Linked DNA regions of Nothobranchius furzeri. Each later gene encodes a partner of the first gene's protein in a complex. Links are inferred from orthologs where the notes say so. Each region holds a gene or a part of one and is shown in the gene's direction. Other genes may lie near its edges.

Region 1 (4,534 bases):
ACAATTGTATTATTTGGAACAATACATATATTGTAAACAAAAATAAAACACTCTTTCTACACAATTGGTCATTAAATAATGTAAACACTGTGAATAATCTACTAAATACTACTGGCGAAACATTATCCCACAAAGACTTCTTAGAAAAACATAATATTAATACTTCACAAGAAGAGTATAACATGGTAATTAAATCCATCCCTGCTTGTATTTTCTTTTTAGCACAGACCATACAATCAAACATTATCTTGTCTGCAGCAGTCAGACCTCCAACTATCGCTGGGATTCCAATCACAGATAAGAAATGTAATAATTCTGTTATCAGAAAAGTAATTGATCCTTTCTCAACCCCGATATGTAAACATCGATGGACTTTGATGAATACAAAACTCTGGAACAGGATCTTTCTGCTACCTCACCAATATGTTATTGTGAATAAGATAAAAGAAGTTTTATTCAAAATTGTTCATAGATATTACCCGTCAAAAGCAAACATCTGTATTTTTTTCCAACATTTTCTGACATCTGTACTTTTTGTGGTTGTAAGGGAGAAACTATTGAACATGTTTTTGTTGATTGCTTTCATGTAACTTTGTTTTGGTTCCATTTACAAAGATACATTTCCAAAAAGTTACAAAAAATATTTCTTTAAGCAAATATGAAATACTTCTCATTGTTACAAACCCTCATCTATCATCCAATGAAAAATACATCATTAACTTAGTCATTATTTTAGCAAAATATTATTTACATAAAATGATTTTTCAGAAAAGTATCCCCTCCTTCTATAATTTCAGAATTGCAGACATTATGAAATATTGGAACAGCATTGAAAAATTAAAAAAGAAGAACAACAAACTAACAAAGACCATGAACTTATTTCATCATTTCAACTTAGACACAGCAGACCCCTAAGTGTTAAGTTATTTATGTTTTCGTCAGTTTTTTGTTTATTTCTTGTGTTTTTGTTTAATAGTTTCCTAATGTTGCATATATGTTATTGCAATTGTAAACAACTGTAAAATGTGATCCATGGATATATTGAATGTATTTTTTGAATGTATCGACAATAAGTTAATAAAACCTGTAACACACACACACACACACACACACACACACACACACACACACACACACACACACACACACACACACTAAATCTTGGACCGGATGTGTAACAGGACACCACAGAACAGCACTATGTTCTCTGGCGTCCTGGTGCATGGTGGGGAGAAGTCATCCGCCCACCTCTAAACGTTTGACCCCGCCCCGATCTCCGGGATGCAGTCAGGTGTACTTGGAGAAGTCTGACGTGTATCCAGACCTGCAGACCCAGAGACCACAGATTCAGACATGCCCCCCACCCCCACTTTTTCCAAAGTCAAGTTTTGACCCCTGCACTTTTTGCCGTCCAAAACAATATTACGCTCTAATAAATAAACACTGGTTGAGCTCTAGGATCAAGTGGAAAACGACCGTTTGTGTTGAAGCCTGTTTCCCTTTAGAACATACTGAAAAGAATCTGCAGTTAGTCTTGAATCTGCAGTTGCAGTTACTAGTTAGAGTTCACTTTCTCAAAAACAGTACAAGCCTGAATCTGCAGTCGACCTGAAACTGCGGTCAGGTCACAGTTGGGGCCCCCTGCTCCCACTGCAATGCGCATGCTCCTGTTGAGCGTTTCGAGTCCAATACGGCGGCGCTGCTCGGAGTTGTTTAATTTTGATTTCCAGTTTAAGTTTTTTCTTTCTCTAGCAGACACGATGGCGGGCACTGCGCTGAAGCGGCTCATGGCCGAATATAAACGTGAGTAACGTTTTGTAATCGCTAACCAACACTGATAGCCATTAGCATTAGCAGCTAGGCTAATAAGCGGCTGTGTGGAGTTCCGCTGCACCAAACTCCATGATATAATCGGTCTCTTTTAATCTTTACTTTCTTTATGAGGTGTCTTACACTAGAAGTCCGTTAAAAAGCAAATCACCTGGGCAGTTTGAGTGACTCGGCATATGTCGTGCTGCTAGTATAATTTCTCGAGAGATTATTTAATCTGTTATCAATCTCGTCCAGAAAAAGCTTCTAGTGGGATTGACGTTCTGATGAGGACCAGGACCTGGTAGCTGTGTGAGAGTCAGGAGTTTAATACACGAGTAAACGGAAGGAATCAGTTCAGAAGTAGAGGTGTTCGGTTCTGTAGGTCTCACTGATGATTCAGTTTACGGATGAACTGTCTGGGTAATGAGTGAATTACGGTTGAATACGGGCCTGCCTCAGTGACAGACAGCACAAATCCCCCAGACTCAAGGCAAAGGTAGAGTTTTTGAATCATCTGATCTCTGACACAAAACAAGGTGGACACATAAGAATGGCCCTCAAACCCTCGGGATGTGTGAATTTTATTTAGGCAGCACTTATCACAAAAAGAAGTAGTTTGGATAGTATAAGAGTCTTCAGCTGCTTGTGAAATGTGCCCAGACTGGTGATACGATGTGAACCTAAAGGAAGTTAATTCCAAAGTGGAACAGACTGGAAAGTCCAGGGGGCTCATTTATCAACCATACTTATGCACATATCCTGCCCTGCCTCCAACATGCCTCCATCCAAAAGGCCAGGTTATCCAGAGTTATCTCTGTAGTTATGCTGCTATAGGCTTAGACTGCTGGAGGACAGACTGACCACTTTCCACACTCGACTACTTCTCACCCTATCTCTAAGGGAGAGCCCAGCCACCCTGCAGAGAAAACTATTTTCAGCTGCTTGCATCCGCAATCTCATTCTTCAGTCACTACCCAAAGCTTGTGACCGTAGGTGAGGGTAGGAACATAGATCGACCGGTTAATTGAGAGTTTTGCCTTCTGGCTGAGCTCTCTCTTCACCACGACAGATCGGTACAACGTTCACAGTGCTGCAGTCGCAGCACCAATCTGCCTGTCGATCTCGCGCTCCATCTTTCCCTCACTCGTGAACAAGACTCCAAACTCCTCCACTTGGGGCAGGACTTCATCCCTGACCTGGAGAAGGCATTCTACCCTTTTCTGACTCAAGACCATGGTCTCAGATTTAGAGGAGCTGATTCTCATCCCAGCTGCTTCACAGTCGGCTGCAAACTACTCTATTGAGAGCTGGAGATCACTTTCTGATGACGCCAGCAGGACCACACCGTCTGTAAAAAGCAGAGGCACCCCTGCTCGGCGCCTCTCAGTTGGGGCAACTCCAGAGTGGTAGCGTGTCCAGCCCCTTTCAAGGAAACTGGTTCCTGAGCCAGAGCCATGTGTTGAGGTGAGTCCGACTATATCTGCACAAAACCTCTCAACCTCACACACCAAATCAGGCTCCTCCCCCACCAGAGAGGTGACATTCCACGTACCGAGAGCCAGCTTTTGTAGCTGAGGATCAAACCACCAAGGTCCTTGCCTTCAGCCACCACCGTTCACACATTGCACCCAACCCCTTTCACCCCTCCCACAAGTGGTGAGCCAATGGGAATGGGGACCCACATTTCCTCTTTGATCAACCAGCCTCCATGGGTGAAAGCCCGGCCACCAGGCGCTCACCGGCATGCCCCATCTCCAGACCTGGCTCTAGAGGTGTGCCCTGGTGACCCGCGTCCGGGTGAGGGAACACTTTTTCCGTTTATAGTATTCATCATAAGAGGTCTATGGGCTGCTCTTTGTCTGATCCCTCACCTAGGACCTGTTTACTGCGGGTGACCCTACCAGAGGCATAAAGCCTCAGACAACATAGCTCCTAGGATCACTGGGACACTCAAACCCCTCCACCACGGTAAGGTGGCAGCCCAGGGAGGGGTTCTTAATAGTTTTTAGGTAATATTTTATTTTATTATTTTATTTTTTCTTTTGTTGTGAAACGCCTCGTGATTCTGCTTGAGATGCGTTAGATAAAAGATTGTTTCCATAATATTATGAAGGATCTGTCAGAGCTCCTCTCTGGAGGAAACGCTTCTCCTTGAGACGCTGATAGCAGATCCGTCTGGAGCGATGCTGGGATCTGGGGCCCTTTGTGGAGCGACAGATAAACCGCACAAGTCCGATTCCAGTCCATGTTCTATTTTACATCTACGAGAACCTCCTCTGCTCCCCAATTACACACGTGTTGTCACGGTAAACCACACTGAAAGATAGCTAAGAGGCTGCACTCAGACATTCCCTAATAAAACTAACTCCATCCAGAACGATTCCTTAAATGAAAAATGTAAATGAGAACCCGCTACTCTATGATTAATCATATTAAAGTTTTTATTGATTCCTGACAGGAACCTCTCCTCTGTCCAGACCGCGTTTATAACCTCTGCTACTTGTTTGATTCGTTTGTATTTCGGCAGCGAGTGTCTCAATCTCGCAACAAAGTTTTTTTCTTTTCTGGGTAGAACGCAGGAATCCCCTCAAATGCTGAGGACGTAGCATGACCAGATATGGGTAATGAGGGCCTTTCTGTATGTAAATGACTGAGAACGGACACGAGCACCTGAGTACGCACAGGTGGGATTTATCACCAGACGAGTGCGGAGGAACGTGCG
Region 2 (4,442 bases), on another chromosome or scaffold:
CCGGTTTAAGCTTAGCTAAACCTTTGCTAATTACTTGACGCAGATCATTTAAAAACGAGCTGATTCTTACAGTGAAATACGTGCTTTTACATTTATTTGTGTAAGACCATATAAAATATAAATAAACGCAAAAAATACTAAAATATTTACCTGTTTATTGGCGGAGATCAGCCGGCTGACCCTGCGGAGGTGTATAGCGTTGGAGCCATGGTTGTACCGCTCCTCAGCGAAAAGCAGGGCCTTTTTTAATCCCAGGTCGGACTCTTGCAGCCGGATAGGAGTGCCGGGGGGCCCGAACAGAGGCCAGTCTAGGTCTTCACCTAACCCGATCACCGAGCTCAGTACAGAGGCCAACACTAGCCAGGGGATTAGCGGAGAGCAGCGCATCCTGACCCGCATGATGTTTTCTCTTGTGCTGTCAAAAAGAAAAGGGTCCGACGTTCAGTCGGGACTCAGTTTAAAGCGTCTTATTTGTTTTCGTGGAAACAAAATCGTTATTAGTTTAACAGCAGCGGTTACACAAGATGTACGTTTGTTGTCAAACAAACTGGGCTGGATTAGAGGAGGAGTTTAGTGGGAGGGGCTTGTTAGACACGGCTTCCAAGTCTCATCCTCTTCCGGTCACCTCATGGGTCCCTTAAAAACAGAAAAAAAAACTATTTTGCAAACCAGAACAGAATGGTTATTGTAGCGCTAAGTTCGCATTTTCTTTACAGAACCCAAAACAGCTGTTCTGCTGGTGGCAGGATGACAGTCTGCACTCTGCACTTAGCAGGGAAGACGGTTTGCTATTAAATGAAATAGCCAATCGTAAGAGAGCCCTGTTAGCCAATCAGAGGCGAGAAAGGCGGGATCTTCCTTGGACATCCTATGATTCCAAATCACGCTCCCAGCAACGAAGAAGAAAATGAACGCAAATGAACTGGGCTGTAAAAACTATTTTCCGCTTTGCCTTACGCCATGAATCAAACATTTTATTATCATTATACTTCAATCATATGCTACATAAATAAACATAACTGAAATCAAAAGTACTGATGTGTGCTTTGACAGTGTCTGTGAGGTAATTTAAGATTGATTAGCTTGTACAAAAATACATATTTTACAGTACAATACAATAAACTGTAAGTTATTATAATATAATAATTTAATAAGTTATTTTAAGGGAGCAGAAATTATGGAGGAAATCATACTATATGCCATAAAGTGAATTTTAGATTGGATTTAAATGTTTCTGATAATATTGTTTCACTGTCTAAAGTAATCAAATTTTAACACTAGAGAGAGACCATAGACTGTACATATACGAGAGACAAACTAAATGTTTCGGCCCTTATTTTGAAAGCAATAGTGATGACTAGATGCATCTGGCGTTTGGCATTGTTCAACTCAGCCATTAATCACAGAAAAGAGAGGAAAAATAGACGCAGACTGTGATTACTGCTAACATGCTCAAAATGAACGTTTCTCTATATTAGTTAAGAACGTTTCAAGAAATGGCGCTTTTATACTAGAAGGTGCAAACCGGAAGTGTATTTGCACCACAGGAAGAAACATCTGTTGATAACCGTTATGCTAACCTTTTAGGATAGCTTTCATATGCTGCGTGTTATATTTCACAGTTAGTCGAGTCTGTTGGCTAAACAATAACACAAATTAGCTGCTAGTTTACCCCGCGCATGACCAGCGTACTGCCGTAAACGTTATGACTGGTCTGCTTTTTAAAATCAGGCTGTACTCTTAGCATTAGCTTTTACCAAAGTCCGACAGGCAGACATGGAGACGCGGGGGATTGAGGACATGTTTGACTTTCGTCGGTAAGTCAGCCAACAATGGTGGACAAGCGAACGGCTGGCTGCATTGTTGGCGCTGTTACTGATTCTCTTAACTTTAAATTGCTAATGTATTTATGTATGTATATTTTTTGGCTAATTCAATTCAAAAATACTTTATTAATCCCAGAGGGAAATTGATTGATGTAGTTGCTCAGAATAATAATAATCAAGTGATCAAAGAGTTGTTGTATATTACAATGGCTGTTGGCTGTTGGCAGGAAGGATCTCCAGTAGCGGTATACGTTTAGAACATATAACACAACTGTTCTCGAAACAGGAGCTAATTAGGCTGCTGGTGGTAGAGGTTAACGAAACGTGTTGCTAGAAACACGTAGACCTCATTTCACTACACTCAAATGAGATGTGTAATGTTAAGTGCCTATTAAAAGTAATTTTTTATTTTCTCAAACACTCGCATCGGCGCTGTAGTTAGTGTAATTAATAAGTCCCTTTGTTAAGTAAAAAATGCAGTGAAGTATGGTCGCTTAGCTGAATGTGGGTAAAGTTAGCCCCTTAGTGCCTGTTAAATCATTACTGTCAGACAAGTTCATGCCAGTAGTGACAAGTATGGTAAAGTATTGAAAGTGAAAGTTAAAAATATCTCTAACACTGGGTGGTTTCTCATGAGCATTGATTAAAGAGCAAGTCACCCCCAAATGAACTTTTTTTCTGGTAGACTATATAAATGCGTGTCTAATCGTGCTGCAGACACGTAAATAGTTTTTCACTTTAGTGCATTTTAGTTAAAATTTTAATTTTCTGCCTAAAACTGTCAGTGTTGTGCCGTTGTCAGGTAAAAACTCTGCACTGCATTTGAATTTAAATCTGCCATCGATATTGGCTAAGTGGTACCTTAGAATGTTAGCTGGTACCATATGATGTCACAATGTCGTTGTGAGCCTGTGTGTGTATTTGTTAGCGGCTCCACGCTCTCGGTCTGCGAGGCAACAGCATTTGTTGCATTTTTCAAACAGGAAGAGGGAGCGGAGTAATTCTCTGGTAGGGGGTGACTTGCTCTTTAAGTGGGATTGTAAACATTTAAAAGATTTGTAAAGGACGCACAAACATGTTTTTGTTTCTGTAGACGCAGTACAGACTAGCCAACACTGTAAAACATTTTAAACCCTTCTACTTTGTTTCTGTCACGCATTTCAGTTTCGTTATTTTTTCTATCAAACACTGCATTAAAATTCTAGTGCTCTCACCGGCTCACTTCCTTAGTTCCACCTTGCTAGGGCTGGGTTCAACCCCTTTGCCTCCAGAACTGCCTAAATTCTGTGTGCCATTAAATAAACGAGTTGTTGGAACATTCCTCAGAGGTTCTGGTCCGTATTGACATGATGACATCATCATGATGATGATCTCCAGTTCCACCACATCCCAACAGTACTCATTTAGGCTGTGGTGTTTAAACCAGGCCCAGGTGGGATTAATGTAGTTTTCACACCTGGGTTGGCCCTGTCAAGAAGGTCCCGGCTGTTGACTGCAGGGACTAGTATTGGGCAGAGGTGGACATCCAAGGGTACTTGGCCCAGTCTGGTCTTGGTAGCATCAGCCCAGTCACAATCGGCCTTGTTGAGAATGTAGAAATCTCTGAGCACACGGGAGGGGCAAAAGACATGTGGAGAAGTCTGTGGTGTCCCTTCATAAGTAAACAAAGGTGGCCGTGAGCAGTGTTGCTTTTGGAGACTCTGATGTTGCTTCCTGATCTCTCTAGCCATTTTTGCAAAACAATGCCGAATTTTTAAAATGCACGTGAACGCGTTAGTCGGGCTGAAGGTGAGCTGGTTCTTATCGAGCTGAAGAACCCAGATGATGCAGTAGCAATCAGATTACATTCTGCATGTAAATGGTTCAGCCGAAATAAACCGGTAGAACGCTCGCGATTCGGAAGTGACAAGATCGCGAAAGCGGAAGTTCTGACAAGACCATCATTACAAAGCAGCACCTGTAACACCATGAAACAGGACAGTACGTACCAAATAAGCTGTGCTGCAGCGTTATTGTTGTGCATTCCTTCAGCCATTGTGCACATCCTGTTTCAATTCCATCTGCTTCACTCCCGCCAGCCTCTGTTTACTACTTGTGTTGCTATAAGCTAACCGGAAAAATGCTGACATGAAAAGTGGCATGTCGCCACCTACTGTACCAGAGTGGAACCAACTTTATTTGAGAGGCCGTTTTTGTAATGCGCATGTAAACTAGGATAAAGACTCCCAGCGTATTAAAATAAGATCGATCTGGATCGACTTAGATGTCAGTCAGTGTGCATTTAAGTGTGCTGACTGAGACTGCGAGTGATTGTGCTCTTCAAAGAAGTCTGTCCTCGCACTGGAGCAGCAGCTCTTAGCTGCAGTCAGAAAAATGCTTACTCCCCAGCATTTGGTGTGATAAGGAGCCCACCAATCGGAGGCTCCCTGTAAACATAGGCACGAATTTCAGCCAGCCAGTCAGTCAGCAGTGGGTGTGTTGGGTCAGTTCAGTCCAAAGCATACCGCCAGGCAAGGAGGTCTGAAAAAATGGCCAGCTGAGCACGGGAAACCCAGATGTGAACACAGTACAACCTACCAGGGCGGATCGATGTCATTCCAGGTGTAAACCTGCCAT

The links.
Region 2: the proteins of ube2g2 (region 1) and aup1 are in contact, whole or in part, in a crystal structure (PDB 7LEW), measured with the Homo sapiens proteins. The link is inferred for Nothobranchius furzeri from reciprocal best matches to the Homo sapiens genes UBE2G2 and AUP1. Residues at the interface, in NP_003334.2 of Homo sapiens: Tyr13, Thr17, Pro20, Gly23, Ile24, Val25, Ala26, Gly27, Pro28, Met29, Asn30, Glu31, Glu38, Leu40, Met42, Glu45, Glu50, Phe51, Val53, Pro55, Lys156, Val159, Gln160, Ser162, Leu163, Leu165; in NP_853553.1 of Homo sapiens: Ser379, Arg382, Gln383, Leu386, Arg389, Lys390, Leu393, Tyr394, Tyr396, Ala397, Arg398, Arg400, Phe401, Thr402.

The regions. Positions count from the first base shown.
Region 1 is NC_091747.1:27,337,153-27,341,686, reverse strand, and holds the start of ube2g2 (ubiquitin-conjugating enzyme E2 G2), read left to right. Parts: upstream 1-1,451; 5' UTR 1,452-1,655; coding exon 1,656-1,803; intron 1,804-4,534. UniProt on the Homo sapiens protein: Accepts ubiquitin from the E1 complex and catalyzes its covalent attachment to other proteins. In vitro catalyzes 'Lys-48'-linked polyubiquitination. Involved in endoplasmic reticulum-associated degradation (ERAD).
Region 2 is NC_091741.1:29,824,189-29,828,630, forward strand, and holds the start of aup1 (lipid droplet-regulating VLDL assembly factor AUP1), read left to right. Parts: upstream 1-1,546; 5' UTR 1,547-1,776; coding exon 1,777-1,817; intron 1,818-4,442. Other genes in the region: ctsf (cathepsin F), read right to left, coding at 151-399. UniProt on the Homo sapiens protein: Plays a role in the translocation of terminally misfolded proteins from the endoplasmic reticulum lumen to the cytoplasm and their degradation by the proteasome. Plays a role in lipid droplet formation. Induces lipid droplet clustering.